7 linked regions of the Macaca fascicularis genome follow. The protein of the gene in region 4 purifies or fractionates together with the protein of the main gene of each other region. This does not show direct contact. Links are inferred from orthologs where the notes say so. Each region holds a gene or a part of one and is shown on either strand. Other genes may lie near its edges.

Region 1 (4,570 bases), on a different chromosome or scaffold from region 4:
GTCTTTACAAATATATATATTTTTGTAGAAATGGGGTCTCCATATGTTGCCCACCCTGGTCTCAAATTCCTTGACTCAAGCAATCTGCCTGCTTTGGCCTCCTAAAGTGCTAGGATTACAGGCGTGAGCCACAATGCTCGGCCAACCCCATCATTTTAAGAAGCTGAGGCAAGAGGGTCCCTTAAGGCCAGGAGTTCATGACCAACCTAACCAACACAGAGAGACTCCATCTTTACAAAAGATGGGAGTCGTTTTTTTTTTTTTTTTTGTAGGAATGGGGTCTCCATAGGTTGCCCATGCTGGTCTCAAATTCCCTGACTCAAGCAATCTGCCTGACTTGGCCTCCTAAAGTGCTGGGATTACAGGCATGAGCCACCTCTCCACTGGCCACATGCTTAAATCACCTCCTCCAAGAGGCCACACTCCATCTTGCCACTGCTGCCCTCTCTGCTTTGAACCTTTCTTCTTCCCCATCTTGAAAAAAAATGAGTAACTACTCTTCCTCATCATTAAAGCCTTAGCCTTACTATCACTGTTACCAGAACCATTTTCCTGACACCCCTGACCGGGTTAGGCGCCCCTACTATGCCCTCTCTGATTCACACATTCAACAAATATTAATTGGGTGTCTGCCATGTGCCAGTCACTGTTCTCAATTCTGGGATACAGCAGTGAATAAGATGATAAAGTCCCAGGTGGTTATGGAGTTTATGTTGTAGTGGGGGTGGTAGACAAAAACAAACAAACAAACAAACAAAAAACCAGATAATTTCAGGTGATAGCTAAGAAGAAAAATAAAGTGGGCCAGACACGGTGGTTCACGCCTGTAATCCCAGCGCTTTGGGAGGCCGAGGTGGGCAGATCACTTGAGGTCAGGAGTTCAAGACCAGCTTGGACAACATGATGAAACCCTGTCTCTACTAAAAGTACAAAAATTAGCTGGGCCTGGTGGCGCCTGCCTGTATTGTTACTCAGGAGGCTGAGGCAGAATTGCTTGAATCCAGAAGGCGGAGGCTGCAGTGAGCCGTGATCACACCACTGCACTCCAGTCTAGGTGACAGAGCAAGACCCCTGTCTCAAAAAAAGAAAGAAAGAAAGAAAACAAAGAAAAATAAAGTGAAAGTGTAGAAAGTCCTGGAGCAATGTGAGTGAGACAGACAGCAGTAAAAAGAGACCTTGGAGAAGGAAGCTGGAGGCCAGATCATGTAGGTCTTGGTGGCCACAGTAATCTGAATTATGTTCTAAGATGGAAATTCACTGTAGAACTTGGTGCAGGAGAAGTGACAAGATCAGAAGTGTATTTTTATTATTTTATTTATTTACTTATTTTGAGACAGAGTCTCACTCTGTCACCCAGGCTGGAGTGCAGTGGCACCGTGATCTCGGCTCACTGCAACTTCCACTTCCTGGGTTCAAGTGATTCTCCTGCCTCAGCCTCCCAAGTAGCTGGGATTAAAGGCGCACACCACCATGCCCGGCTAATTTTTGTATTTTTGGTAGAGACGGGGTTTCACCATGATGGCCAGGCTTCTCTCAAACTCCTGACCTCAGGTGATCCACTTGCCTTAGCCTCCCAAAGTGCTGGGATTACAGGCTTGTGACACCGCACTTGGCCCAGATGTGTATTTTTAAATGATCACGTTAGCTGCTGCTTAGAAATCAGACCGTAGAAGGTGAGTGTGGAGGGATACCAGCATCCAATTACTCCTGCCATGGATTTGCCAGGGTTTTCATCCCTTCCTTCAGCACACCCCACTCTTCCCCACCACTTAGCCTAGTTAACACTTATTCTTTCAGAATTCAGCCCGGATGTAACTTTCTCTAAGAACCTCGCCCCAGGCGGCCCCAACCCCACACCTCCTGTAACACAAACTCTTGGCCTTCACATCTTTGTCACTACCACCCCTCTCGCCGCGCCTTTTTTGAGACAGTGTCTTGCTCTATCGCTCAGGCTGGTCTCGAAATCTGGGCCTCATGCGGTCCTCCCGACTTGGACTCCCGAGTAGCTCCTTTGTCGCTCTTATCACTGTTGTGATTAATTGTACAAATGGCTTAATGGCAGTTATAGCACCCAGTTCATCAAAAACAATGGCCTGATCGTCAGCAGGCAGGGTAGCGACCAGTCCATCCTGGCACCCATCTGCAGCTCCAGTGTGCATCCCAACCCCGGCGCTCGTAGCCGCGCTCCGTGAATGTTTGTCACATGTCTGAAGAATGCATGAATTATATAATCTTCTTCCCACTCCACCCCTCAAAAAGCAAGTGGATATAAGGACTTGAAGATTTTATAATCTCTTCTTCATTAGTAAAATTTGACCATCCTTACCGTTAAAAATAATAATGATGGTTGGCCGGGCGCGGTGGCTCACGCCTATAATCACAGCACTTTGGGAGGCCAAGGCGGGCGGATCACGAGGTCAGGAACTGGAGACCAGCCTGACCAACATGGTGAAACCCCGTCTCTACCAAAAGATACAAAAAAGTAGCCGTAGGTGGTGGGGGGTGCCTATAATCCCACGTACTTGGGAGGCTGAGGTAGGAGAATGGCTTGAACCCGGGAGGTGGAGGTTGCAGTGAGCCAAGAAGGCGCCGTTGCACTGCAGCCTGGGCGACACGGCGAGACTCCGTCAAAAAAAAAAAAAAAAAAAATTAATAATAATGGTGAAAAAGGTTAAGTGGGAACGCAGGGAGGGGACAGCTAAGATCCAAAGGTCGAAATATTCATTACGCCTACCGTCGGCGAAGAGAAACAGCAGCCCCAACCGGAGGCAAAAGGAAATCCCACCACAGGCTGCAAAGGCGCGTGGGCGGGACTGGAGACTGGGGCCGCGCGCAGTAAAACGCGGAAGACAGAATGTAGCCCCACCACCCGCAGCCGCGACAAAAGCACCCCTGCGGAGGGGGGGCGGGGCCTCGCTTGGAAAAGAGACGGTCTCTCGTCCAGAGGCGGGACTCAGAGCCCTTTCACAAGTCTCATTGGTCAAGTTGAAGACGGACAACTCTCGCTGGCCAGCCGTAGCCCAGATGGGGCGCAAGCGTATTTGGAAAGGGAGAGGGCCCAGAACGCGAGAACTACACATGCGTGTCGGCGATTTCTTGCCTCCGTGGTGGATGGGGCGATTGAATTCCCACAGCGAGTTCAGCCCACCGAAGTTCAGAGGATTCGTAACCTTCCTCTTTAGAGAGCCTCAGGTTAGGGAACTTCCAATGCCCAGAAGCTGCCCCGTGGGAATCCCAGTGTCCGCCGCCTCCTAATATTTCGTCCTGGCTGTGCCCCAGCCCTTCCTGAGGCTGGGTTGTTATGATGGTGAATTATTCAAGAAGTCTTGCAGCCTGACGCCATCTCTGGGCAGTGCTCCTGCATCCTCCCTGTCTTCCTTGTAGGGCACCACGTTGCTCCTAAAGCACAGGGTCCTGAAGCTGTTTACAAGGCCCCACCCTGCCACGTTAGTATCTTAACGAGTGTTTGTTGAGGACATACTGAGTGTTAGAGCCAGTGCAATGAGCAAGTCCCTGATCTTGGGACCTTAACATTCTATGGGACAACACAAATATATAAACAAAAAATAATGTTAGATAGTGATACATGCTCAAACCATGACTATGTGGCCAGGCGCGGTGGGTCACACCTGTAATCCCAGCACTTTGGGAGACCGAGGCAGGCAGATTACTTGAGGTCAGGAGTTTGAGACCAGCCTGGCCAACATAGTGAAACCCTATCTCTAGTAAAAATACAAAACTTAGCTGGGCGGGCGTGGGGACGGGTGCCTGTAATCCCAGCTACTCGGGAGGCTGAGTCAGGAGAATTGCTTGAACCCAGGAGGTGGAAGATTGCAGTGAACCCAAATCACACCACTGCACTCCAGCCTGGGTAACAGAGCAAGACCCTGTTTCAAAAAAAGACAAAACCGGCCGGGCGCGGTGGCTCAAGCCTGTAATCCCAGCACTTTGGGAGGCCGAGACGGGCGGATCACGAGGTCAGGAGATCGAGACCATCCTGGCTAACATGGTGAAACCCCGTCTCTACTAAAAAATACAAAAAATTAGCCGGGCGAGGCGGCGGGCGCCTGTAGTCCCAGCTACTCGGGAGGCTGAGGCAGGAGAATGGCGTGAACCCGGGAGGCGGAGCTTGCAGTGAGCTGAGATCCGGCCACTGCACTCCAGCCTGGGCGACAGAGTGAGACTCCGTCTCAAAAAAAAAAAAAGACAAAACCAAACAAAAAAACATGGCTATGTGATAGAATGACTGGGATGGGGATTGGGTGCTTACTGAAATGGTAAGAATGGAGCTAAAACCTGACATTAGATGACAGCACCAGATATAGGGGCCAAAGGTTTCGTGCTTGGAAAACAGCAGGTGCAAACATCCTTGTGCTGTGAGGAAATTTGGCTGGAATAGAAAGTGGACCAGACTGTAGCTGACCGTAGTCTCTGGGAGTTTGGAGATGATTCTAAATACAATGGGAAGCCATTAAATTGAGGCTGAGCCTTGATATGACATGCTTTATCATCATTTTGCTGAGTGGAGAATGGATTGCTGGGAAAAGTGAAAGACTGATTCAGAGGTTGT
Region 2 (4,090 bases), on a different chromosome or scaffold from region 4:
CTCAAAAGAGAAATGCAAATTAAAACTACACTAAGATTCAATTTCTCACCCATCAGAATGACAAAATTTTAAAAGCCTAATACTATACTCTGTTGATGAGGATGTGGGGAACAGACTGTCTCATAAATCATTGGCAGGAATACAAACAATCCCTACGGAGGAACACAGGTAATAATTTCAATCCAATAATCCCACTTCCAGGAATTTACCATGAAGACTCGCCTTCCAACAATACAAATATATATACGACACAGCTAACTGTACATTGCTGCATTATTTATAATTCAAGCTACTGGAAACTACCAAAATGTCCAAACATAGAGAATGGTTGAATAAACTCTGGTACATACATAAAATACAGTACCATACAGTTGTTTTTTTTTAAAAAAAAAAAAAGAGAGAGAGAGAGAGAAATATCTCCAGAATATTTTAAGTATAGAAAGCAAAGAATGAAGGAAGATATACACTAAACTACCTTTTGTGTAAAAAAATGGAAATTACAAAACATACATCTGCTCATCTTATTAAAAACACAGGAAGGATAAACCAGAAAACGATGAAATTGGTACCCTATAGAGGTAGGGGGCAGTTAGAATGAAAGGGCTAAGATAACAGGTTACATGAGAGTAAACCCTTATGTAATTCTGACTTTGTGAAGTGTATTAATATCCCCCTATCAAAAAATGCAATTATATCAACAAAGATAGTGGGAAAAAAAACTAAAACTGAAAGCATATGGAAACAAATGAATCCAACTGTATTTCAAATGAATGAAATAATCACACTGAAAGATCAGAAAAAAAGAACTAATCCAAGTAACTTATGAATACAGTATTGAGTACACACCCTTGTCTGGGAGCAGAGGAGAGGAAGAGGAAGGACTGAAAACAAATCCTAAGCCATTTTTAGTAAGTTGGTTTGGGGGTGGAGACAATGGTATGAATGGAACACTTCTGAAATTATTTTAAATAATTGTAGGATTAAGCAAATGAGAAAATGTGTTATTGATAGAAGTCAGGATTCTAACTGTGGAAGAAAGGAGATAAAATATAGAGTAGAAGAAAGCAAAGAAGAGCCTTGGAAGAATGGCCTGGAATTAGAGAATCAGGTGTGAACACATAACATCATGTGTGCATGCTTATACTTCCTAGCTCTGCCACTGAGAAAGCTCAGAAGCAATGAGACCATGGTAGCAATAAACATGCTTAACATCCAGAGCCTACTAAAGGGAAGCAGAGCTCCTTTGACAGATGACTAATTTCAAGGGTAGGGCAGGGAAAGTATAAAATAAACCTGGAATATTTTGTTGGAACAGAAAATAAAGGAGGTACTCAAAAAAAGTCATGAGCACATGTCAAAGGGGCACAAGAAGTAGCCACTGGGGCTCCCAGTGTCCATATCAGGAACAACTTTAGCATCAACATAATTAGAAGGAAATAATGAATTATAAATCACTGGAGAAAATAAGTATCAAAGGGTTCATACTGATTATATAAACGTCAATATATGTGCAAAAGGGAGAGCTCTTCCTTACAGATGCATGCCAAGTGTCAAATGATGTATGTGGAAGGAATGCTAGTATTGAACAATCATCAATTTGCAAATAACATAGTGAAGATTGTTTTGAGCAAGAACCAACAACAGATGCTAAATCTTGTAGGAAAATTTTAATGAGAAGCAGAATATTTACATGATTTTAAAAGGTTCTCCCCATAGGCTGCTTATAAAAGGAAAAATAACTACACTGTGGAGAAAATTAACGACATTTTGACTGACTGATCAAAATCAACATCACCAGCAAGGGGCAGACAAAGGGGACTATGACTATGAGAGCCTGAGAAGGACATCTCACCACCTATAGAGTATTCTGAGCAGATATGTATATCCTGAATCTAATTGTAAGGAAGCATTAGGCCAAAATGAAGAACATTCTAAGAAAAAAAAAGGGGTGAAGAGGCTCTATTGTCGAAATATGCCAATGTCATATAAGACAAAGACTGAGAAACTGTTCTAGTTCAAAGAGAGTAAAGCCATATGGATGGCAGATTAATGTATTCCATCAGTATTAAATTTTCTAGCTTGATATATGTACTGTGGTTAATAAGAGAATGTCCTTTAATTAGTTTTAAAAAAAAACCGAAGTTTTTAGGGGTAAAAGACCTTAATGTATGCAACTTACAATCAAATTTAAGTTTTCTGAAAAAACAACTACATTGTTTTCAGAAAAAAAAGTAGAGAGAGAATCAATGACAAAGCAAATAAGGCAAAATGTTAGTAACAGATGAGGCTGAGGGTGTATAAAAATTCTTTGTACTATTTTTGTAAACTAACCATTAGCTTGAAAGTATTTTCAAACACAAAGTTAAAAAAACAGAAAAGGCAAATCTTACATTTCTTAGTGCTTCATAAACAGCTCTAAATGCTGGTTGCTTATCGTCATGGTAAACACCTCTGTTCCCATGAAGAATAAAGATTCCTTCTTCTTCTGCTTCTTGGCAATTGCTTCCATATATACAATGATCTGGTCGATAATTCCATTGACACGGAAAAACAAAAAGGCTTTCTACATAAAGAAAAGACCAGACAATGAAGCAAATACCCCTAATTCCACAAATGTAACATTATGCAAAACTTTTAGTTAAAAAATACAGCTCTTACAAGTAAGAATTAATGAGAAATGTTCGGCATTTAGATCTCTTCCAATTAAAGCAAAATTCAAGAAAAGTTTTACTCTGTCTTAAACATAAATAGCAATAATCATTAATATAAGACAGAATCAGATAAGTGCATGTTTTCCTTTTTCACTCAGTATTATCTGTGATTTTTTAATGCAAATAAAAGGAATTTAGATAATTACCTGGATTATGAAAAAACACAATATTCAATAGATCTTGATCACCCCATGTGATGTTCAGTTTGTATTTTTTAAGCAGTGGCATAAGTATATCTCCCCATTGTAGTCGTACAGTTGTCATATCATTCTGTTGATAAAAACATTCAAAAGATATTACAGTAACCCACAGTAACCATTACAAAGCCACAAAGAGAAATGCAAACTCCTCACAATATCAAGTGACATTTCCAACCCTAAATGTGAGAAGGGCTCTCCAGTAAAAGAGAAGATAACAAAAGGAAGTTGTATGTGGCAGTGATAAAACTAGTAAGTCAGGAAAGAAAGCAAAAGTAACTGTGTCCTTATCTTAAAATGAAGATAGTTTTGGTACCTATGTCTGTGCCTACGTCAGAGTTGTTGATGATTAAAACTGTTAACATGTAAATTTAAAGTGCTTGGAATAGCACCTGACACATGGTAAATATTCAGTGTTAGCTATTATTATTTTTTTACCATGATGGCTATTATTCTCAGATTGATTTGCTTAACTTTTATAATTGGCAGTTCAAATAGATCATTCTGAAATTGATAAATCAAGTTAAAAAATGCATACATAACTAAAGTTAAACACTAAAAAACAGTATGATTGACAAAAATCAAGGCTGCAGAGGGAGTGGGGAAGATGAACAAAGCAGCAGAAATTTATGAGCTTTGTGTCTACTTGTAGTAAAAAATTCTCATAGAGAACTGGCCTTTTTATGATGGATTTTCCTATCCAAAAACATAATATGTCTTCCTACTTATTTAAGTGTTCATTTATCTTATTACATTTAAAAAATATATATATGTGTGTGTATATACATATATACTGCCAATTTCTTTCAAGTTTGTTCCTATGTATACTATCTCTTTTGAGAGGATTCCATTTTATCTTCTAAAAGGTTGCTACTTGTACATTAGAAAATGCACGCAAAGAATTCTGTAAAGAGGCACCATGAATGACATACAAAGTCAAAGAAGATTTGCTAAGGAAAATAACTGGGTCCAGTCTAGCAGATGTATGTAGTCCCATAAACTCTCACCGTCCCAGAGGGAGGCAAGTTAGGACTGGCATCTTTGGCAATATTACGACTGCACTCCAAGAAAGAGACCCTAGTCTCCTGATGCCTCTCATACTATTGAAGAGCTAACAGATTCACCCAACCCATTTTAATGACTGTAAGCTTTCCTATCAGAATTACAACCCTGCTAGCAAAA
Region 3 (4,856 bases), on a different chromosome or scaffold from region 4:
TGTCCTCTAACTTCACCCATGTTACTGTGAATGACAAGATTCCATTATTTTTTATGGCTGAATAGTATTCCATGATATGTGTGTACCACATTTTCTTTATCCATTCATTGGTGGTCAGACAACTAGGTTGATTCCATGTCTTGATTATTGTGAACAGAGCTGCAATGAACCTGGGGCTTCAGATGACTCTTTGATATAATGATTTACATTCTGTTGGATAAATGCCCAGTAGTGAGATTGCTGGATCATATGGTACTTCTATTTGTAGTTTTTTAAGGAACCTCCATACTGTTCTCCAGAGTGATTGCGCTAGTTTAAATTCCTGCTGTGTAGGAAATTTCCCTTTTTTTCTGCATCCTCACGAGCATGCTATTTTTTTGTCTTTTTGATAACAGCCATCCTTACTGGGGTGATATAGTAGCTCATTGTGGTTTAGGTTTGCATTTCTCTGAGGATTAGTGATGTTGAGCACATTTTCATTCATTTACTGGACATTTGTATGTCTTCTTTGAGACATGTCTACTCAGGTCATTTGCCCATATTTTAATTGGGTTGGTTTTTTGCTGTTGAGATGTTTGACTTCTTTGTATATTCTGGATACTAGTCCCCTGTCCCATGAGTAGTTTTCACATATACGAGGCACCAAAGTAGGTCTTTTACACAGGTTATTTGATTTACTCCTCACTCGGACTCTATGAGGGAGGTGCTATTACTAACACTCTCATCTTACTGAGAGTTCAGCAGAGGTTCATAGCTTCCCCAAAGTCACACAGCTTCTGTGGCAGATGGAGCAGGGTTGGATGCCAGAGCCAGGCCCTCCAGCCCTACGCCTCACTGCTGCAGGAGCCTGCTCATCTGCAGTCGCTGCCACAGGCATCAATGGTAGTACCCAGAATAAGCATTTATCGAGCACCTACTGTATTCACAGAACTCTGATCAGTCTGAAAGTCCAAGCAATGAAACAAACAAAGCCAAGGAATGGTAGAAATCGCAGAGTTCAAACCAGAGTCTAGGACCTGAAGTGCACTGCATGGGCCAGGTTAAACTGAATGAAACATTCCTATTTTGATCCCTTTCATTATTTGTTGTCCATACCCATAAATACCTTTATCAGTTTAGATGTGAAGTCAAAAACAAATAGGCAAGGAATCAGCTCTTGCAACATTCTCTTCTCCTGAAAAAGGTTCTTTGAAAGTCCTGTTTTGCAGAGACTCAGTCCTTTTGCATGATGGGTAAATCGTAGGAGACCTCTGCTAGGTCCTTATGTTACATACCTAATGTGGAATGGTTGCTTCATCCAAAAGCCTGGAGTTTTCAGAGACACTGTCCTCAAACTTCCCCCATTGGACAATACCAGCGCCTGCAGGCAACAGCTCTGACGCACTTAAGACTTAAATACAACCCACAGAAGTGCTGGCTTGGCTGGGAAAACCTATTGCTAAGCAGAAGAGCAACATTGTTTTTTCTTTTTTTTTCTTTTCTGGAATTTGTAAACAGCATTTATTCTCAGCCTTGCCTTTGAAATGTTCCAGTTGGAACATTGCTGGGCAGCGTGCAAACAGGAGCGAACGTCAGCCGGGGCGGCAGGGGGCAGCAGACCCCACACTTTGTCCATGCCTCAGGTGGGAGGGAGTGTCCGGCTCCAGAAACCTGCCCAAGCGACTTCAGCCAGCAGACGGTTCATGTCCTGAGGCTGCAAAATACGAGGTGGTAGTAGTGGGGGGCGTGAGGCTGAGAGTGGGGAGAGCAACACAGGGGCGCCAGGGTGGGAGCCGCAGCAGGCCCGTGACCGCCCGGAGGACACTGATGCTTCTGGAGCGCGCGCGAGGGTCCAAGGCGGGGCCGGACCGAGGCCGCCTGCGCTCCGCGGAGGCGCGGTCTGAGGGACACGAGGCGGTGGCAAGGGACAGCAGGCGGAGGCGCGGTCTGAGGGACACGAGGCGGTGGCAAGGGACAGCAGGCGGGGGCGCGGTCACCGGGCGCGGGAACGGGCGGAGACATGGAGGGGGCGCGGGTGGGCGGACTCCCTCCCGCAGGGCTGGGGTGGTCAGGCCAAGGCCGCTGGGAAAGGTAGGACGCTCGCCCCTGCGCTGCCAGCTGGGCTTTTCTCCTTCCTCGCCTGCCCTGTGTTCCAGGGCGCGACCCCGCTCTGTCCAGACGCTGGCTCCCGGACTGACCCTCAGGTAGGTGGGTCGGAGCCCCTGAGAGAAGTGGGGTTTGAGGGAGGGCATTTCCGTTTCCAACAGCAGGCACGGGGAGCCCGGATGCCCCAGCTCCTGGACCCTGGATTAGAAACTGGCAGGAGTAGGAGATGTTTTGTAGGAGGCTGCCCTCTGCTTTTCTCTGTTCTAACATCTGCTGGACTCAGGGAGTCTTAGCACCTGTATTTTTGACCAGAAAAAAATTGGAACAGCAGAAAAGCCAATGTGATGGGTTACGCCTTCTTAACGTGCCTCATTCAACGTTGTAAGTTCCTTCCACAGACTGATCTTTTTCGTGCAATTGATGTGATCCTATGTCAGCTATACAAAACAATTTTTGTTTACTGAATTTAGTTTAAAAGGCAAGAAGTTGCTTTCCACAGGGCACATTGATCCCCGGTGGAAAGGGATGCGTATGCCCTGAAACATGGAGAGCCACATGCGCTGCTTGGTTTTGTGTAGAAGTAACATGAGATGATCTTTTCACTGATTTTCAGAATTGTGGAGAATTCCCTTAGGAAAATAAGTATGTGTATCAATGGATGACTAATATGGGCATTTACTTTAACTGATTTCACTGAAGCAGTGCTCCTAATATTTTGAGACACAGTTTTTATTTGGTTCCTTTTTACCACATGATCAATTAGCTTCTTACTTCATAAGTTATAGTGGGGGAAGGTACTTCCTATTTTCTCTTTAAATTTTATGTCCCTTATTTAAAGAAGCAGTAGGCCTGGTGCAGTGGCTCACTCCTGTAATCCCAGCACTTTGGGAGGCCAAGATGGGCAGATCGCCTGAGGCAGGAGAATCGCTTGAATCCGGGAGATGAAGGTTGCAGTGAGCCAAGATTGTGCCATTGCACTCCAGCCTGGGCGACAAGAGTGAGACTTCATCTCAGAGAAAAAAAAAAAAAAAAAAAAAATTAGTCCTCAAGTCTCTGGCTAAATACAAAGCTGTGTATGCACAGGGAGAGGTTCCACAAAGAAAGAAGAATAAGGAACAGCTACTGGGGAAAGAACAACTGCAGGGGAACAGTGAGCTCAATGGAGATGCCAGAGCTCACATAGTACTTTCAGACTCTTTTCAGTGTATATTTTATGCTGAGATTTTTTAAATGAAATACTTTGTGTGGACAGGGAAAATTGGTACCAAAGGGAAACTTTAACAGTGAGGAAGAAACTTTCTATAAAGAGGACAGGGGACAATATACACAAAAGTCTGTGCTAAGTGTAAAATGAGCATATTCATCCTTAAAGCACATCAGAATTGAATACGAGTATTTATCCATTTCATTCATTGAATGAATTATTCATTCACTGAATCAATGAAATAAACACAGCTCTTTGAGGATTTGAGACTACATTCACCCTTTATTCATAGTCACCTGCGGTTTTGCTTTTCTCTGCATTTCTTTGCTGTTAGATGACTGCTGCATTGTTGAGTTGTATTTTGAGTGGATATTTTTGTTTGGTAATAGTGAAAATTTTAAATTGTAAAAAATGTATATTTATCCTTTCTCTCCCTTCTAAATATGTGTCACTGTAAAACATCATTCCCATGTGACAGTGTGTGCTGTAGACTGTTTAAAAATTGGGCAGCCAATTAGCAATGAAAAACAAGTGGTCCACCTTCAATATTTGCTTGTGGTTTATTTACATGCTCTTGGCACCAGTCCTAGACTCACATGTGCCCCAGAATAACATTCAGACTCTCAGCTGGTCTTGTGTTACACGTCCATGGCCCGATTCACTCCATGGTATACAGCACTCTGCTCCGTGTCCCCTGGGCTGGGCTCAAGTCAAGCAGTCAGTGACAGACTTCATTCCCAATAACAGAACCAGTTTGCATGACTCCCCATACATGTTGCAGCTTTGAAAACATTCATCTCAATGTTCACACTTTCATTTAGTATCAAGTATTTTACTGGGTTCTTACAACCATGGTGTAGTAACATTCACTGAGGAGGAAATGGAGGATCCAAGGATGGAGCAAGTTGCTCTGGGCACACAAATGCATTTGCAGTTTTACAGCCTCTTGGTGGCGTCTCAGTCAGACATTCTGTGTACTGATCAATGCCCTATTCAATTAATGGAAAAGGATGCACTCTGCGTGAGATTCCAGTTGTGCACAGAATATACATGAGAAGTGTGCCTTTGTCATCTCTACTTTCAAAGGTGAAGGCCACCAGCAATTTCTTGTATGCAACTGATGCCTTTCAAATGAAATCTTATATCTGTGTAGTCCGTAGGCAACCACAGGCAAATGTGAGAGTGAAACGCTATGTTCTACGTTGTTCTGTGTCAGTGAAGCAAGGCAGTGCCAGCTCAGAGGGCTCTGGGGCCTCAAAGAAGGGATGCCTGGTTGTGGGTGTTGCAACTTCCAGCAGGGCAGTCAAACCTAACTGCTGATGCTTTTCTTTCAGTTCTGCCATCATCGCTGACAAAGTCATCCCAGTTTGTCTGCCATCCCCAAATTATGTGGTCGCCAACCAGACTGAATGTTATGTCACTGGCTGGGGAGAAACCCAAGGTGAGATAAATTCCATTGCACACATAACGAATTGGTTTTGACCTACAGTCCATGTGACAAAATGATCATTTTGGAGAAAGCTGTGCAAATTCCTGTCCGTGAATGTGGTCCACCCACTCCTGATTT
Region 4 (4,090 bases):
AGAAGAAAATGCACCAAGAAGAATGGTTGTCTCAGAGGTGGTGGAATTATTCCTACTTCAGTTTAGTCTTCATTGTTTTCTATAAGCATACACTTTTCTCAATCTAACCCATAAACATATTCTTAAAAAGGGATCAGACACTGTGGTTTCTTCATCTTGCTTAAGTGATTTCTTAATCTTGCTTAATCCCAAACAATCTACTGGCCTATCGCACACTCGCCCCAGTCTGAGGGTAAGAAACCAAGGATTCATGAAGATGGAAGACTATCCAAGTAGACTGACTCCAAGGCTGCTGCTCTTTGTACTCTATCACAAGTTGCTAAGATTGTAAATTACCCTATGAAAATACTCCTTTTTTTTTTTAAATGCGCCAGCAACTTTTTAACATGTGAGGGAGTTTGGGGGAAACATGGTCTCTACTTTTAAGAACTGCATTCTAGGGCTGGGCGCGGTGGCTCAAGCCTGTAATCCCAGCACTTTGGGAGGCCGAGACGGGCGGATCACGAGGTCGGGAGATCGAGACCATCCTGGTTAATACGGTGAAACCCCGTCTCTACTAAAAAATACAAAAAACTAGCCGGGCGAGGTGGCGGGCGCCTGTAGTCCCAGCTACTGGGGAGGCTGAGGCAGGAGAATGGCGTAAACCCGGGAAGCGGAGCTTGCAGTGAGCTGAGATCCGGCCACTGCACTCCAGCCTGGGTGACAGAGCGAGACTCCGTCTCAAAAAAAAAAAAAAAAAAAAAAAAAGAACTGCATTCTAGTTAAGACAGAACATATCCATTGAAAATATACAAAAGATACAGATAGCAATGACCTTTATTAATAGGAAGGCAGAGTTGTAGCTGGAAGTAAAACCTGAGAAGAGCTTTCCAGGAGAGACCAGACTGAGACACAGAGGTGCTGGGGGAAGGACTTTAGTGGGCAATGGTACAATGACTGTTCCCTTTCTCTCATACTCTATATATCTATCCAATCCACCACAAAACCAAGATCCAGAACCCCAACTAGTTCTCATACCCTCTGTTCCTCTCCTGTCACCCTTTTTGGGGCCACCATATCTTTCCTAGATGATTACAGGAACCTCCTAACTGGTCTCCCTGATTCTCACTGGTATATAGGAAACACAGCAGATAGTCATCATCCTGTGACAACTGTGTCCAGTAGCCTGTGATGGTTGCCTGCTTCACTAGGAGGGAAAGCCAAGTCCACACAACAGCCTGTCTAACCCGGAGCCTTCTCCACCCTTCTCTTCTCCACTCTGTCTGTCCACTCACAATACTGGCTTTGTAGACCACTTTAGGCTCTCAATACTGGCTGTTCTCTCTGCCTGGAATGCTCTTCCCACTTACATCCCCATGGAAAAGTTCTCTATCTCTTTCAAGTCTTTGGTCCAGTGTCATCTTTCGAGTAAGGTTTTTAACATGGTGACCCGCCCTACCTCTAGCACTTTTAATACTTTTTCCTGTTTTAATTTTTCATAGTTTCTCACTTCCTAATATGCTGTGTTGTTTACTTCCTTACAATGTTTACTGCTCACTGCCTGTTTCCCCCAAGTAGAATATCAGCTCCCTAAAGGCAGGGTATCTTTGTCTGTCTTATTCACTGACAATGCCTGCAACAAAATGGGCACTCAACACACATCAGGTAAATGAATGAATGAACCAATCTATGGATAACGGGGACAAAAAGTTTAGAACACAGTGATTTGTATAAGAAATACTTTTCAGGGCACTGTGAGGAGAGGCAAATAGACTGTTAATGACCCGAAGTTTCCTTCTTAGCAAGCATTTTATTATCCCCCTACAACCTTCTGCTTATTCCAGAAAATCATTTTCAGCTAAAAAGATACTTTGGAGAGGCAGACGTAGCTTCAGATTATCAAACAAAACACTGACCAGTATCACAAAGAATTCCACTTCAACAAAATTGGTTTTAACAGAATTTTTACTGCCATAAGCCACTGTAAACTACCCTATTAAAATATTCCCTTTAAATAAATGTACCTTAAACTTGGAAAAACAGAATGTGTGACCCCTTTCCTTTACCTCTGCTTTAGGTTTTCTGTCTTCCTCCTCTTGACTGACAGTGCCACCATCTTCTTCAGCATCACTTTTCTGTTTCTCTTCTGAGACAAAAGTTAAACAACTGAGCAAAACCTGACTATTTTTGGTGATTACACATTAGCATTAGAACAAATCTCTAGATCTACAACACTTTTTTTTTTCTTGAGACGGAGTTTCGCTCTGTCAACCCAGGCTGGAGTGCAGTGGCGCGATCTCAGCTCACTGCAACCTCTGCCTCCAGGTTCAAGCGGTTCTCCTGCCTCAGCCTCCCAAGGAGCTGGGGCTACAGGCACCCGCCACCACGCCCGGCTAAATTTTTGTATTTTTAGAAGAGACGGGGTTTTACCGTGTTAGCCAGGATGGTTTCGATCTCCTGACCTCATGATCCACTCGCCTCAGCCTCCCAAAGTGCTGGAATTACAGGTGTGAACCACCGTGCCTGGTCAATAATTTTTTTTTTAAGAGACAGGATCTCGCTGGGTGTGGTGGCTCACGCCTGTAATCCCAACACTTTGGGAGGCCCAGGTGGGAGAATCGCTTGAATCCGGGAGGCAAAGGCTGCAGTGAACCAAGATCACACCACTGCACTCCAGCCTAGGCAACAGGGCCAGACCACATCAAATAAATAAATAAATAATAAATCAGCTGGGCATGTGGTCCCAGCTACTTGGGGACGGGGGAGGCTGAGGTAGGAGGATCACTTGAGCCTATAAGTTCGAGGCTGTGGTGAACTGTGATTGTGCCATTGCATTCCAACCTGAGTGACAGAGTGGGACCATGTCTTAAAAAATAAAAACAGAGGATGGGCGCAGTGGCTCACGTCTGTAATCCTGGCACTTTGGGAGGCCGAGGTGGGTGGATCATGAGGTCAGGAGATCGAGACCATCCTGGATAATGCGGCGAAACCCTGTCTTTACTAAAAATACAAAAAAGTTAGCCAGGCATAGTGGCGGGCGCCTATAGTCCCAGCTACTTGGGAGGCTGAGGCAGGAGAATGGTGTCAACCCAGGAGGCGGAGCGTGCAGTGAGCCGAGATCGCACCACTGCACTCCAGCCTGGGCAACAGAGCGAGACTTCATCTCAAAATAAATAAATACATACATACATACATACAAAATAAACATAAAAAAGAGAGAGAGAGGACCTCACTCTGTTGCTCAGCTGGAGTACAGTGGCACTATCCTGGCTGACTACAGCCTTAAACTCCTGGGCTCAAGCGATTTTCCTGCTGCAACCTCCCAAAGTGCTAGGATTACAGGCTTGAGCCACCATGCCTGGCTAAAAACAATCTTTAACTTGACTGTAAAGGTTTAACGACATCGTAGGGTCTTGGCTTAAAGCAGATTTTCTGGACTCTATTTCTTACCAAGTTTCTCTTCTCCTTCCTCCTCCTCATCTCCCTTGTCCTTTTCCTCTTCCTTCTCTTCTTCCTCTTCCTTCACATCCGGCTGAGGTGCATCAGTTTTCTTATACTCCATAGCACTGGTCTGTTTCTGAAATGTTCCCCAAAGTACAATTTTGTTTACATGTTCAGGTATTATGTTATATAATTCCTGAATGCCTACAGGCAAAGTTCTGTTCCAGGCTGTATACAGGGATAGATATATAAAAACGAATAAGATGTAATTCCTACCCTGAAGAGCATGTGTGCACATGCGTGTTTCAAGGTAGAATAAAAACAAAAGGGCCAGACAGGAAAATACGGGTCAAAAAAGGTGACTGCGGCACAGATACAAAGAATAGTGTCAGAGGATAAGGCTGGAAAAGGAACTTGGGATCCAGTTACAAAGTGCTATGAATGCCAGATGAAGCATAATCCTCATTTAGTAGAAGTAGAGGGCCAAAATAAGACTTCCTTTTTTTATGATAGCACATGCAAAAAAGGCTAGACAAGAAAAACTAACAATAAGGCTGTGGTACCCCAACATACTGTTTTCAGAGTGGGGAAGGTGAAGGCAAAATGGATAATGAGGAATCAAAGACTGAATTTCAAATAATAGAAATAGGTATGCCAGCAGGAAAAGCTG
Region 5 (4,090 bases), on a different chromosome or scaffold from region 4:
CCCAGAGATGTAAGAACCCCACAGCTTCCTAGCTGAGCACAGTGTCTTTTCTCTGTCTTTTGGAAATTGTGAGGATATTTCCAATGGGAATACTATTTTGTGTTGTTTTGTTGACTGCAGTATCCCCAGCCCTTAGAACAATGCCTGGCACATAATTGACACTCATGAATTTGTTGAATGAAGAAATTCCTTTTAAAAATTTATTTTCTTTGGCTTCCTTCATTGTCTAGCCTTCCTACTTTGGTTAATGCTTATGTTTTCCTGAGCCTTACTAACAGGAGGCAGCTCTTAAAAAAGAGAGAGAGAGTGCTGGGTACGGTGGCTCACGCCTGTAGTCCCAGCACTTTGGGAGGCCGAGGTGGGCAGATCACTTGAGGTCAGGAGTTCGAGACCAGCCTGACCTCTAGTAAAAATGCAGAATTAGCTGGGCGTGGTGGCTCATGCCTGTAATCCCAGCTACTGGGAAGGCTGAGGCGGGAGAATCACTTGAACCTGGGAGGCGGAGCAGAGGTTGCAGTTAGCTGAGATCCCTTCATTGCATTCCAGCCTGTACAACAAGAGCGAAACTCCATCTCAAGAAAAAAAAAAAAAAGAGAGAGAGAGAGAACTTGAGTCTACTAAGTGACAGCTGGAGATGGGCTAGGTAATAAGTTGGTGTCACTGTCTGGTGAATGACCCTGTCTTGTAGGAAATAACAAACTGAGTATAGACCCAGTCAACTTTGATTTGGATGAGAGGGATTTGTATTTGCACAGTGTTTCAGCATTTCTTGGTTTTGGTTTTTTGAGCCAACTTTATGGAATTGTGTGCTTTTGCAGAAATTACTGTGAAGTTCCTTTTGACCTTGAGCCTCTTTCTGGCAGTTTCATGTCTGTTAGTGTTGTTTCCAAATATGATGGAAACCATATGATGATTTTTATGCTTGGCATTCCTTTGGTACTATGGAATGCCCTGGCATCAGTAGGTTTAGCCTATAAGGAGGGTAGCACCAATAATTCTGCTTCATTGTCCCCAGGCTTGCTTGGTAGGACTTGAGAGCTCCCTGAGCCTCAAGGGAAATTGTCTGGCTTACTTCATTCCCTGGAAAGTTAGCTTATGCTTTATACTGTTAATCATGGTGACTGTTATTACCATGTGCCAGCTATTATGTTAAGCATTTTACATTCATTATCTCCCTTAAGACAATAAGCCTCTGAGGTAAGTATTATAGTCTCTCTCTTATAGAGGAAGACATCAAAGTTCAGAGGTTAGGTAACTTGCCCAAGATCACAGTTAAGTAGTGGCAGAATTGGAATTCAGACCCAATGGGTCTGACTATTATAGAGTTCCTGCTCTTAACCACTCTTCTATAAGTCTAAGACTATTTTTATTTCTCTAATAACTCTTCAGTCTCCATTTCTATTATGTCTTCTTGGGGCAGGATCACTCACTTGGAGCCTTATAGCTGGGACACTGATGCTCAAAATACCAGGAGCTGCCGGAATGGGTATTGTAATATGTATGCTAGATACTGCTCCTCGTGACCTTGGCTGCCTTTCCTTCATCCGCGCTCTCTGGTCTAGGGACAGCTTCATCTATTCACTGTTTGTTTCCTAAGTATGAGTTTTAGAGACTGGTGAGGCCCTTGGGGCGGGAGTATCTACTGGGACTGACTCCATTTCCTGCTTCTAGTTCAAAAGGTGATGACCTATCAACAGCCATTCTCAAACAGAAGAACCGTCCCAATCGGTTAATTGTTGATGAAGCCATCAATGAGGACAACAGTGTGGTGTCCTTGTCCCAGGTAAGCTGGGGCCACAAACTAGTCTTTCCTTACTGCACTTACTTGAGGGATTTGCCCAGGTTTCTTTTCTCATTTTGCAGATATTTCTATTTGCAGACTGCAGATAGAGTGGGGTTTACTGGGAATCCCAATCTCGAGGGCTGTTGCTTACTCCCCTTCTGCCCAGTGACCCAAAGGCCTTAACTTTCTTTCCTCAGCCCAAGATGGATGAATTGCAGTTGTTCCGAGGTGACACAGTGTTGCTGAAAGGAAAGAAGAGACGAGAAGCTGTTTGCATCGTCCTTTCTGATGACACTTGTTCTGATGAGAAGATTCGGATGAATAGAGTTGTTCGGAATAACCTTCGTGTACGCCTAGGGGATGTCATCAGGTGTGTGGGGTTTTTGGCTCCACAGGGATGGGAGGCCAGAGATAGCCTGCATTACAGGCAGTACCCATGTATTACAGGCAGGACCAAGTTCTTGGAACCTGTCGATGCAGGAAGCCTGCTGGTCATGGGAAGACTTATGCTTCAGGATTGTCTTTAGGTTTTGGTTCTGCCTTCCTGGGACTTCAAAATCCATTTCTGCAGGTCGCTTGAGACAAATTGGCATTCCTGTAACTTTCTTGGTGCCTTTATTTTTTCCTACTAGAAGTGTAATTTATCATACTTATAGCCTAGCTTAGGATACCACTCGAGGGTGTGTATGTATCTGCCAAATAACCTCCTCACTACTCTCACTAGTATGTCCAATTAATGGCTTGCGTTGGGGTTGGAATGAGGTGGGGATATGGACATGGAAGGTGAGCTGCTAGCAGGCCTTTTAAGCCCCTAAGTGAACCCGGGAGAGAGGAATAGTTGGAGCCAGACCCAGGATAGTTCTCAATGTGAGTGATTTTGCTTGTTCTTGCATAATTTTAGGCAAGAGGTTGCCCCATCTTGGAGTCATCTCTAGCCACTCTTACCCAACCAACCATCACCTGGCCAGGATCATCTCAGGCTTTTGATTCTTTTTGATGGAGTCTAAGTTTCATGTAGCTTTCTTCTTGGGGGTGCTTAGTCACTTCCTCAAGGTGTTCTGAACACCTGGCTGAGATAATTTTGTTTTTTTCACTTCTGTTTCACTGACCCTGACAGTTGTTAGCTTAAGACCTTCCCTTGTAATATTGGGTCACCAATATTAGCTAGAAGGGGATCATCCTTGGATATCTCACTGAAGACCTTGCATATCTTTGTGGGGTTTCTAAATGTGTGGCTCTTGATTTTGGCTCACTGATTAGAAGTGAGTGGGGCTGTTCCTTTGCCCTCACTTCCACGGTGTTCTCCTTCCTCTCTTCACCTAAAGCCATCCTGCCTTTTCTTTTTCACTTACTATCAGCTATCTGTGCCAGGCCCTTTTGGACACCCAGTGCTTGGGCCCGAAGTGTGGTTGGTAATATGGAGTCTGCTTGTCATCCTCAGCATCCAGCCATGCCCTGATGTGAAGTACGGCAAACGTATCCACGTGCTGCCCATTGATGACACGGTGGAAGGCATTACTGGTAATCTCTTTGAGGTATACCTTAAGCCGTACTTCCTGGAAGCTTATCGACCCATCCGGAAAGGTGAGAGCTAATTCTGAGTTTAAGGATTATTGACTGTAGTTAATAAACCTTGGAACATCTTCGTCTCGTTTTCTTTCTTTTTTTTTTAATCTTTTATGCTTTTCTCCTGTATTTATTTATTTATTTTTTAAGAGATGGGGTCAGCTGGGCACCGTGGCTCACACCTATAACCCCAGCGATTTGGGAGGCTGAGGCGGGTGGATCACTTGAGGCCAGGAGTTCGAGACCAGCCTGGCCAACATGGCAAAACCGCATTGTGGGCACCTGTAATCCCAACGACCTGAGGGGCTGAGGCACAAGAATTGCTTGAACCCAAGAGGTGGAGGTTGCAGTGAGCCAAGACCAGGCCACTGTACTCCAGCCTGGGTGACAGAGCAAGACTCTGTCTCAAAAAAAAAAAAGAAATGGGGTCTCACTATGATGCCCACGCTGGTCTCAAACTGCTGGGCTCAAGTGACCCACCTGCCATGGCCTCCCAAAGTGCTGGGATTACAGGCATGAGCCGTCATGCCTAGTCTCATTTTCTTTTCTTTTTTTTTTATTTGAGACAGAGTCTCACTCTGTCCCCCAGGCTGGAGTGCAATGGTCCAATCTCAGCTCACTGCAACCTCCTCCTCCTGGGTTCAAGCAGTTCTCCTGCCTCAGCCTCCTGAGTAGCTGGGCTTATAGGCGTCTGCCACCACGCTCCGCTAATTTTTGTATTTTTAGTAGAGATGGGGTGTC
Region 6 (4,090 bases), on a different chromosome or scaffold from region 4:
TTGATAACCACATTACTGGACTTAACTGCCCTTATGGATTACCACAAGCCCAACAGATATGACAAAGTAAAACAGACTTCATCTTCTTTTTTTTTTTTTTCTGAGACTCAGCCTGGCTCTGTTGCCCAGGCTAGAGTGCAGTGGCAAGATATCAGCTCGCTGCAACCTTCGCCTCCTGGGTTCAAGCAATTCTCTGCCTCAGCCTACCAAGTAGCTGGGATTACAGGCACCTGCCACCATGCCTGGCTAATTTTTGTATTTTTAGTAGAGACGGGGTTTCACCATGTTGGCCAGCCTGGCCTTGAACTCCTGACCTCGTAATCTACCCACCTCGGCTTCCCAAAGATTACAGGCGTGAGCCACTGCGCCTGGCCAGAGTGCCTGTTATCTAAGTATACCCATGGATTCCGCTGTCTTTTTTTTTTTTTTTTTTTTTTAAGACAGAGTCTCACTTTGTTGCCCAAGCTGGAGTGCAGTGGCACAATTATGGCTCACTACAGCCTCAACCTCCCAGGCTCAAGCAATTCTTACATCTCAGTCTCCCAAGTAGCTGGGACTATAGGCATGTAACCACCACACTCAGCTAATTTTTTTCCTTTTCTTTTTTTGTAGAGACAGGGTCTCACTGTTTGAGACAGGTTGGTCTCAAACTCCTGAGCTCATGCAATCCTCTCACCTCAGCCCCTCAAAGCGCTGGGACTGCACTAGCGGATTCTGCTGTCTTTTCTTTTTTTTTTTTTTTTTTTTTGAGACGGAGTCTCGCTCTGTCGCCCGGGCTGGAGTGCAGTGGCCGGATCTCAGCTCACTGCAAGCTCCGCCTCCCGGGTTTACGCCATTCTCCTGCCTCAGCCTCCCGAATAGCTGGGACTACAGGCGCCCGCCACCTCGCTCGGCTAGTTTTTTGTATTTTTTTTAGTAGAGACGGGGTTTCACCGTGTTAGCCAGGATGGTCCCGATCTCCTGACCTCGTGATCCGCCCGCCTCGGCCTCCCAGAGTGCTGGGATTACAGGCTTGAGCCACCGCGCCCAGCCTCTGCTGTCTTTATTCCATTTAGCCTGTGTGCCTATTTTTCTCATTGCAAAAGCATGAACAGTGGTTTTATGTTTTATCATCAGGCTTCCTAGAATATTAGGATCTAGCTGAGAGGAAGAAAGGGATCTGTGGCCATGGCTCCAGCACATGTCACTCTCTATTATGTGTTTATAGGGCTAAAGGGAAAGTTGACCCTCATGATATTGATCTAATAGAGCCTTCTTGCCAAACTGAAGCTGCCTGTCTCTCCCCCTCCTCTGCAGAGGTGGTGCCCTGCTGACTTCGACCAGCGGCCCTGGTTTCCATCTCATGCTGCCTTTCATCACATCATATAAGTCTGTGCAGGTATGCTTGTCCTCTGTGGTATGATTGGATGACTGCAAATTTGGGATGTTAACTAGTGCATGATTTGAAATTATTTAGCCATTGAATGAGTAAAATGCCATTCTAGAGAACAATATAAGGATAATTTTTATATATATATATGTTATATATATAAATATATTTTTTATATATATAATGAGGCTGGGGATTATTCCTTCAAGATAAAGCCAGAGAAGAACCTGTTTTGAGTATATGGAAGGAAAAGTCGGGGTGTATGTGTGTATGTTTTAAATCACAAGCTACCATGTTAGATGGAAAGAAAACATAGTAATTTTGCTGATTCTTATTTGAATTCAGAAATATGAACATAATTTTTGCAGTGAGTGGGGAGGAGTTGAACTAAGTGAGGGGAGGTGACATCTAAAATAGGAGTGAGGTTAGTTGTGGCAGATCAAAAGCCTGGCTAAGTTAGATTCGCCATCTCTGAAGTATGTCCAGCCAAGAAGAATAACAAGATTTTACACTTTACACTGATGCAGGAGAATGTCTTGGGATACCTGCTAGGCATTTTCCCTGTAAGTTTTGTGTGCTGTTTACCAGGCTTTGTGGCGTTCAAAGTGCATTCAGGTACATTGTCTCATTTGAGTCTTGTAGTAATCCTGAGAATGGGCTGGGCAGCTGTTAGGGTCTGAGACAGGTTAAGTAAGTAATCTGCTGTTTCAAAACTAGTACAGTAGCCCTCCCCCTTATCCATTATTTCACCTTCCACAGGCTCAGTTACCCACAATAAACCATGGTCTGAAAACAGGTGACTAGAGTACAATAAGATATTTTGAGAAAGAGACCACCTTCAAATAACTTTTATGATGGTATATTGTTATAATTGTTCTATTTTATTATTGTTGATCACTTACTATATCTAATTTATAAATTAAACTTTATCATAGGTATGTGCTATAGGGTTTGGTACTCTCCCCAGTTTCAAGCATCCACTGGGGGTCTTGGAACATATCCCCCTGAGGGGATAGACAGTGCCTACCATAAATAGAAGAGGTAGAAGCAAGCATAAGTCTTAAGGTGCCCAATCCAGTGTCGTCTTCACTAAACCATTATTACTCAGTTTGTTTGTGTGGTGGTTTACTTACAGCTGGGGCAGGGGCCTTTGCTTGGCTTAGCAACCCTATGAGGAAGGAGGATTAGGTGGGGTAATCATGTTTAATGAAGGCAATGCTCAACCCAAATGGTTATTCCAGGACAAAGGCATTTAGGATTCTGAAACGTAAGTTACTTTGTCACTGCCCATCTCTAGCACTTTATGTTTCCTCTGTTTCCAGACCACACTCCAGACAGATGAGGTGAAGAATGTACCTTGTGGGACTAGGTAAGGTACCCAGAATAAAGCTTTTAAGCCCAAATAAGTCAGAGAAAAGGCTATCTGGCTGGCTGCAGGAAGAGACAGTGAAAAGGGAGGCACCCTTTCTTGGTTAATTCCCTGTCTCGTAGCTCCCTATATTGATTTGACCAGGTGGTGGAGTGCAGTAGAGGAAATCACAGAAGGTTCAGGAGGGGCTAGAATGCCGTATGTAATAAGGAGTTTGCACTTATTCTATTATAAGTGAGGATTGGCCAGGCGCAGTGGCTCACACCTGTAATCCCGAGGCAGGCTGATCACGAGGTCAGGAGATCGAGACCATACTAGCCAACATGGTGAAACCCCGTCTCCACTAAAATACAAAAATTTAGCCAGGTGTGGTGGTACGCGCATGTAGTCCCAGCTACTAGGGAGGCTGAGGCAGGGGAATCACTTGAACCTGGGAGGCAGAGATTGCAGTGAGCCAAGATCATGCAGTTGCACTCCAGCCTGGCGACAGAGCGAGACTCCGTCTTTTAAAAAAAAAAAAAAAAGAAGTGAGGATCACTATTCACAACAACAAAGACATGGAATCAACCCAAATGCCCATCAACGATAGACAGGATAAAGAAAATGTGATACATATACACTATGGAATACTATGCAGCCATAAAAAGGAACAAGATCATGTCCTTTGCAGGGACATGGATGGAGCTGGAAGCCATTATCCTCAGCAAACTAGCGCAGGAACAGAAAACTAAGCACCACATGTTCTCACTTATAAGTGGGAGCTGAATGATGAGAACACATAGACACATGGAGGGGAACAACACACACTGGGGCCTGTCAGTGGATAGGAGGTGGGGAGAGGGAGAGCATCAGGAAGAATAGCTAATGGATGCTGAGCTTAATGCTTAGGTAATGGGATGATCTGAGCAGCAAACCACCATGGCACACATTTACCTATGTAACAAACCTGCACATCCTGCACATGTACCTCTGAACTTAAATGTCAGGAAAAAAAATAAAATTTTAATGTTAAAAACAAAAAAAAGAAGTGAGGACGCACAAAGGTTTTTAGCAGATAAATGACCTGATACAAGAAGATAACTTTTGCATAACTAAGGAGAATGTCATAAAGTTAGGGGAGACCTTCAGGGCAAAGAGATCCGAAGAGAACATTACTATAGCAGTCCCACTGGAAAGCAAAGAGAGTTTAAACTGGGATAGAGTAACAAAGAATACCACAGAGAAACACTCTGACAAATCCGGAATTGGAACATCCCACAAGATCACAGGCCTGATCTCTTCACAAAGTGGTCGTATTTAGAGGGATGCTGGATTGAATGGAGACTTACAAGAGACATAAACAGAAGCAAGGG
Region 7 (4,090 bases), about 86 Mb from region 4:
CTTATCCAGTAGTGATACCGACTGATATTTTGAATAATTTCTTCCTTCAGTGACATAGGATAGTGGAATATGCCACAGGTAGCTGTAAAGAGAAAATATTGGAAAATTACTATTATTTCAGTTAGTTACATATGATTTGTTGGTTTTCTTTTTAAAAAAAAAATTGGTAGGAAGGTTAACTTTGTTAAGCTATTCCTAGGAAGGGATAATCTTGTTAGGTTTCATAAGAACTTATGATCACTGAGGGTGCAAAAGAGATGGCATGAAAAGAAAGAGGGCATGTACCTTGTATCTGAAGGCTGAATTTCAGGCTTCATATTTAAAAAGAATCTCTCTTGTTGTATAAAAAGTTGCTTTCCTTTCTTTTGAACAGTCACTAAAGGAAATCCTTTCTGCAGGGTCCAGGTTTTCATCATTCTCTTTACATCTAGTGTTTGGTTTGTGACCTATAAAATGTATATACATAAAACTCTTTTTCCTTAAAAATAAAAATTGGTTTAAAAAAATTTAATTTTAATTTATCTGTACGCTTCCCTCTTTTCCTACCACCTATAAAGAATACATTTAATGTTAACATAAAAAAGAAACAGGAATGTTGAATTTACACCTCTAATCTAGGTAAATGAGCAACTGCTAAAAGGAATGTAACCTGGAACAGAGCTAAGTGATAGCTAAGGGAGTGAGGGAGGCACTAGGTTGAGAAGTCGCACATGTATCAACCAACTAAGAGTTCATTAAAATCCCTAAATTCATCAATATTAAAATCCCTAAGAAGGTATAAGTATTCTTTCAAATCACAATACTATCATCTAGAAGATACGAATAATGATATAAGTCTACAATCAGAATCATTGCTACTCAATGCTGTGAATCACCTGAGTCTGGGTTTCTCTTTATGCTCCTACCCTCCACCTCCATAATGATAGTCTCTTAGGACCTAATACTGTGGGAGTGCCAGGGAACAGCGGCAGCAGCAGAAGAATGACATATGAACAGGTCAGTTGCCTTAAGTCTTTCTCAAAAACAGAGGTAAACTACTTTGGTGGTCACAGACCTTCTTTCCCAGAAAATATATGAAGTTATCTATAAAATCTAGAACCTAGTGTCAGAGCTTTGCAGACCCTCTAAGGCCCAAAGCCCCTAAGACATCTAGTATCAATAAATAAGAAGCAATTTTTGAACAACAGCCTCTTTAAAGCAGGTGGTTAAACTTAGGATTCAAATTATTTTTCTAGTTTATATATGAATTTGAATTGTAAGCAACAAAGTCATGATGTACCTAAATTGATAAAATCACTCTACTACAGCAGGCCTTACCTCAATCACCATATGCCCATTTATTTATAGCACAAAAGGATGGAGCAAATCTTCCCATTTTAATTAATCTTATATTTATCATGGCCCTAACCTATTTATTTCTGAACCAGAGAATTAGAAGAAAATAAGCTTGCCTAAAATCAAGATGCTTTTGGGTGTCGAAGCAGTATTGAAGTGAAGAAGCCAATGCATAATTTGATGTGGATGCTGAAAAACCTGAGGATACTGTTAGGAACTAGTTTGGGAAAGAAAAACACCATGATGCAAAAGTTGCAGTCAATGAGAAAGGCAGAAATATGTTCTAAATGCCAACAGATAAGAGGGTAAGTATAAAGTAAACAATGTGGCTTTCAAATGAAATGCTACTATATCAGAGGAATAAAACCATGATTTGGGAACAACTGTTAGGTAATAAGTTCTCAAAGAGAATTCAGAGAGTAGGGAAGATATATCTTCTGGGCAAAAGATTAACAGTTAGAAAATATCAGGATTCAGATGAGGCAAAGAAGCAGAAAGAATGTATGAGAAAGATCCAGAGTAGGGGTTCCTAACCTAGAGTCAATAAAACTTTGAAACTCTGTGTGATGTTCTGCACATATGTGGTTTTTCTGAGTAATATGGCCAGAACTTTCATCAAATTTCCAAATAAGTCTGCGATCTGATCTTTCCTTTTTTTTTTTTTTTTTTTTGAGACAGTCTTGCTCTCTCACCCAGGCTGGAGTGCAATGGTGCAGTCTTGGCTCACTGCAACCTCTGCTTCCCAGATTCAAATGATTCTCCTGCCTCAGCCTCCCAAGTAGCTGATAATACAGGTGCGTGCCACCACGTTGGCTAATTTTTCTGTTTTTAGTGAAGGCGGGGTTTCACCATATTGGCCAGGCTGGTCTCGAAACTCCTGATCTCATGATCTGCCTGTCTTGGCCTCCTAAAGTGCTGGGATTACAGGCGTGAGCCACCACGCCCAGTCAAGTCTGTAATCTTTTAAAGCATTACGACCCATCAATCTAAATCAGGGTAACAAACGCAAATGCTTATAAGGGTTTTGCAGTCAGCATACATGCATGAAGCAGCCCGGGTTCATGTGCTGCTTTGAAGTGTAACTTCTACATAATTACATTTTTTGCTAGAATATTTCCAGGAATGACAAAATTCCAACAGCAAAACCATCCAAGTGTAATATGCAGTCAGCTTGTGAAGTATCATCTACTCTGGAGGAACAGTCACAAAGGCAAGAGATTCACAGAGCAGAGTACAGAATCATTCAAAGGAGGCAGAAAAACTAAAAAAGGGTAAGGATAGGAAAAGAAATTTTTGAAAAAAAAAGTCAAATAATAAAAATATAGTAATATTCATTAATATGGAGAAGACAACTTTCCTACAAAATAGGAATAGAAATTAAGGTACAGAAAAAACAAACAAACAAACAAAAAACTGGCTACCCAAGTCCACACACATTTTTTCCAACAACTAAGAACAGCATTCTCATTTCTTGACATAAAATTCAGTGCTCCATTCATAAATATTTATATAGCAAGCTCCATCCCCCTCTTTCTTAAATAACTATGCTTTGTACCACAGATTAACTTAACACACATACTAAAGAGTATAAATAGACGAACTCGTCTCTTTTTACTGAGCTAAATAAATTACCCAGGTCACTTACCTCATTAAAACTATCCCACAGATCATCACTCTGAATGGATGCATAGCTGTGATTATGCAGGTAAAGGACAACAGCATGTTGAAACACATCTTCACTAAGGTAAGTTTTCAGCATCAACAAGAGAGAAGCTCCCTACTCCAAAAAAAGGTGAGGAAAAAGAAAATAATAGAATACTATAGATTATCAAATTGGGAATCTAAAATTCAAACTATAGTCATTCTAAAAATTTACTTCCATATGTAGAACTTAGTTATAATACACTGCTACTTAGTCTGCTATAACTAGATGTGGACTGTGTTCAACTATCTTAACATTGTTTTAAAGGATTTGAAAAAGAATTAATGAGTAGATTCCCATGTGCACTATTCTAACCAGGAGCCAGTCCGTGTGGTCTATTGGTATACTCACTGTTTCGGTGTTAGTGTTGAAAAGCTAAGTATTTATAAATACATTTTAATAGAAAAACATGGCAAATTTTCTGTGGCATCCACACTTCCATCCCCAGTGCTTAAATTACCCATTGAATTCATGAGCACACACTACTGGAGACACAATAAATTGGCAAGGCTCTCAAAAGACTCCCTTTTAGGTATGTCATTAATTTCTTATTTTAGTATATTGTGTTGCGAAGTAACCAGAATCTCTTTTCTTCCTGCAGAGTCACTTCAAATGCTTGGAACTAACAAATGTATAGGGCAGCAAGCATACTATTAAGGTCACACTACATCCATTGATATACATGTCATCCTTCCCAATCCTGAAATAAGCACCACCTCCTCTGTGAAGCCCTTCCTGGTTTGAAATAGAAATCACATTTCTCCATCTTCAATACAGTTTATTTGGCATCCTGTATCTGTTACACATTTATTTCCTCATCTACACTGTAAGCTAACTGAGAGGAAAAAGTGAAAACTCAACTCCAATGACTAAAACAATGCCCACTACATGGTAGGCACTCTAGTAGTTTTTGAATGAATTTCACTTTTGATTAAAATGTAGTAATGTCAAGATTATTGTACAAATACTAAATTATTACCTATTACTCATTTCTATATCACGCTTCATAGCTATTACTTGTTCTATAAATGTAAGTACTCGTTGTTGTCCCCA

The links.
Region 1: the proteins of CANX (region 4) and GBA1 purify together in Homo sapiens (affinity purification with mass spectrometry; 3 studies listed by BioGRID and IntAct, with this or other methods). This does not show direct contact. The link is inferred for Macaca fascicularis from reciprocal best matches to the Homo sapiens genes CANX and GBA1.
Region 2: the proteins of CANX (region 4) and GXYLT1 purify together in Homo sapiens (affinity purification with mass spectrometry; 3 studies listed by BioGRID and IntAct, counting the BioPlex papers as one, with this or other methods). This does not show direct contact. The link is inferred for Macaca fascicularis from reciprocal best matches to the Homo sapiens genes CANX and GXYLT1.
Region 3: the proteins of CANX (region 4) and LPA purify together in Homo sapiens (affinity purification with western blotting; 3 studies listed by BioGRID). This does not show direct contact. The link is inferred for Macaca fascicularis from reciprocal best matches to the Homo sapiens genes CANX and LPA.
Region 5: the proteins of CANX (region 4) and VCP purify together in Homo sapiens (affinity purification with mass spectrometry; 4 studies listed by BioGRID, with this or other methods). This does not show direct contact. The link is inferred for Macaca fascicularis from reciprocal best matches to the Homo sapiens genes CANX and VCP.
Region 6: the proteins of CANX (region 4) and ERLIN2 purify together in Homo sapiens (affinity purification with mass spectrometry; 4 studies listed by BioGRID and IntAct, with this or other methods). This does not show direct contact. The link is inferred for Macaca fascicularis from reciprocal best matches to the Homo sapiens genes CANX and ERLIN2.
Region 7: the proteins of CANX (region 4) and LNPEP purify together in Homo sapiens (affinity purification with mass spectrometry; 3 studies listed by BioGRID and IntAct, with this or other methods). This does not show direct contact. The link is inferred for Macaca fascicularis from reciprocal best matches to the Homo sapiens genes CANX and LNPEP.

The regions. Positions count from the first base shown.
Region 1 is NC_088375.1:105,886,469-105,891,038, reverse strand, and holds the start of GBA1 (lysosomal acid glucosylceramidase), read right to left. Parts: upstream 2,895-4,570; 5' UTR 2,735-2,894; intron 1-2,734. UniProt on the Homo sapiens protein: Glucosylceramidase that catalyzes, within the lysosomal compartment, the hydrolysis of glucosylceramides/GlcCers (such as beta-D-glucosyl-(1<->1')-N-acylsphing-4-enine) into free ceramides (such as N-acylsphing-4-enine) and glucose.
Region 2 is NC_088385.1:48,670,400-48,674,489, forward strand, and holds part of GXYLT1 (glucoside xylosyltransferase 1), read right to left. Parts: intron 2,982-4,090; coding exon 2,858-2,981; intron 2,564-2,857; coding exon 2,391-2,563; intron 1-2,390. UniProt on the Homo sapiens protein: Glycosyltransferase which elongates the O-linked glucose attached to EGF-like repeats in the extracellular domain of Notch proteins by catalyzing the addition of xylose.
Region 3 is NC_088378.1:10,362,365-10,367,220, forward strand, and holds the start of LPA (apolipoprotein(a)), read left to right. Parts: upstream 1-1,795; 5' UTR 1,796-1,806; coding exon 1,807-2,183; intron 2,184-4,623; coding exon 4,624-4,730; intron 4,731-4,856. UniProt on the Homo sapiens protein: Apo(a) is the main constituent of lipoprotein(a) (Lp(a)). It has serine proteinase activity and is able of autoproteolysis. Inhibits tissue-type plasminogen activator 1. Lp(a) may be a ligand for megalin/Gp 330.
Region 4 is NC_088380.1:186,599,320-186,603,409, reverse strand, and holds part of CANX (calnexin), read right to left. Parts: intron 3,557-4,090; coding exon 3,430-3,556; intron 2,126-3,429; coding exon 2,046-2,125; intron 1-2,045. UniProt on the Homo sapiens protein: Calcium-binding protein that interacts with newly synthesized monoglucosylated glycoproteins in the endoplasmic reticulum. It may act in assisting protein assembly and/or in the retention within the ER of unassembled protein subunits.
Region 5 is NC_088389.1:64,363,003-64,367,092, forward strand, and holds part of VCP (transitional endoplasmic reticulum ATPase), read left to right. Parts: intron 1-1,671; coding exon 1,672-1,783; intron 1,784-1,980; coding exon 1,981-2,153; intron 2,154-3,224; coding exon 3,225-3,367; intron 3,368-4,090. UniProt on the Homo sapiens protein: Necessary for the fragmentation of Golgi stacks during mitosis and for their reassembly after mitosis. Involved in the formation of the transitional endoplasmic reticulum (tER).
Region 6 is NC_088382.1:41,113,854-41,117,943, forward strand, and holds part of ERLIN2 (erlin-2), read left to right. Parts: intron 1-1,296; coding exon 1,297-1,378; intron 1,379-2,691; coding exon 2,692-2,738; intron 2,739-4,090. UniProt on the Homo sapiens protein: Component of the ERLIN1/ERLIN2 complex which mediates the endoplasmic reticulum-associated degradation (ERAD) of inositol 1,4,5-trisphosphate receptors (IP3Rs) such as ITPR1.
Region 7 is NC_088380.1:100,992,534-100,996,623, reverse strand, and holds part of LNPEP (leucyl-cystinyl aminopeptidase), read right to left. Parts: intron 3,113-4,090; coding exon 2,981-3,112; intron 447-2,980; coding exon 286-446; intron 83-285; coding exon 1-82. UniProt on the Homo sapiens protein: Release of an N-terminal amino acid, cleaves before cysteine, leucine as well as other amino acids. Degrades peptide hormones such as oxytocin, vasopressin and angiotensin III, and plays a role in maintaining homeostasis during pregnancy.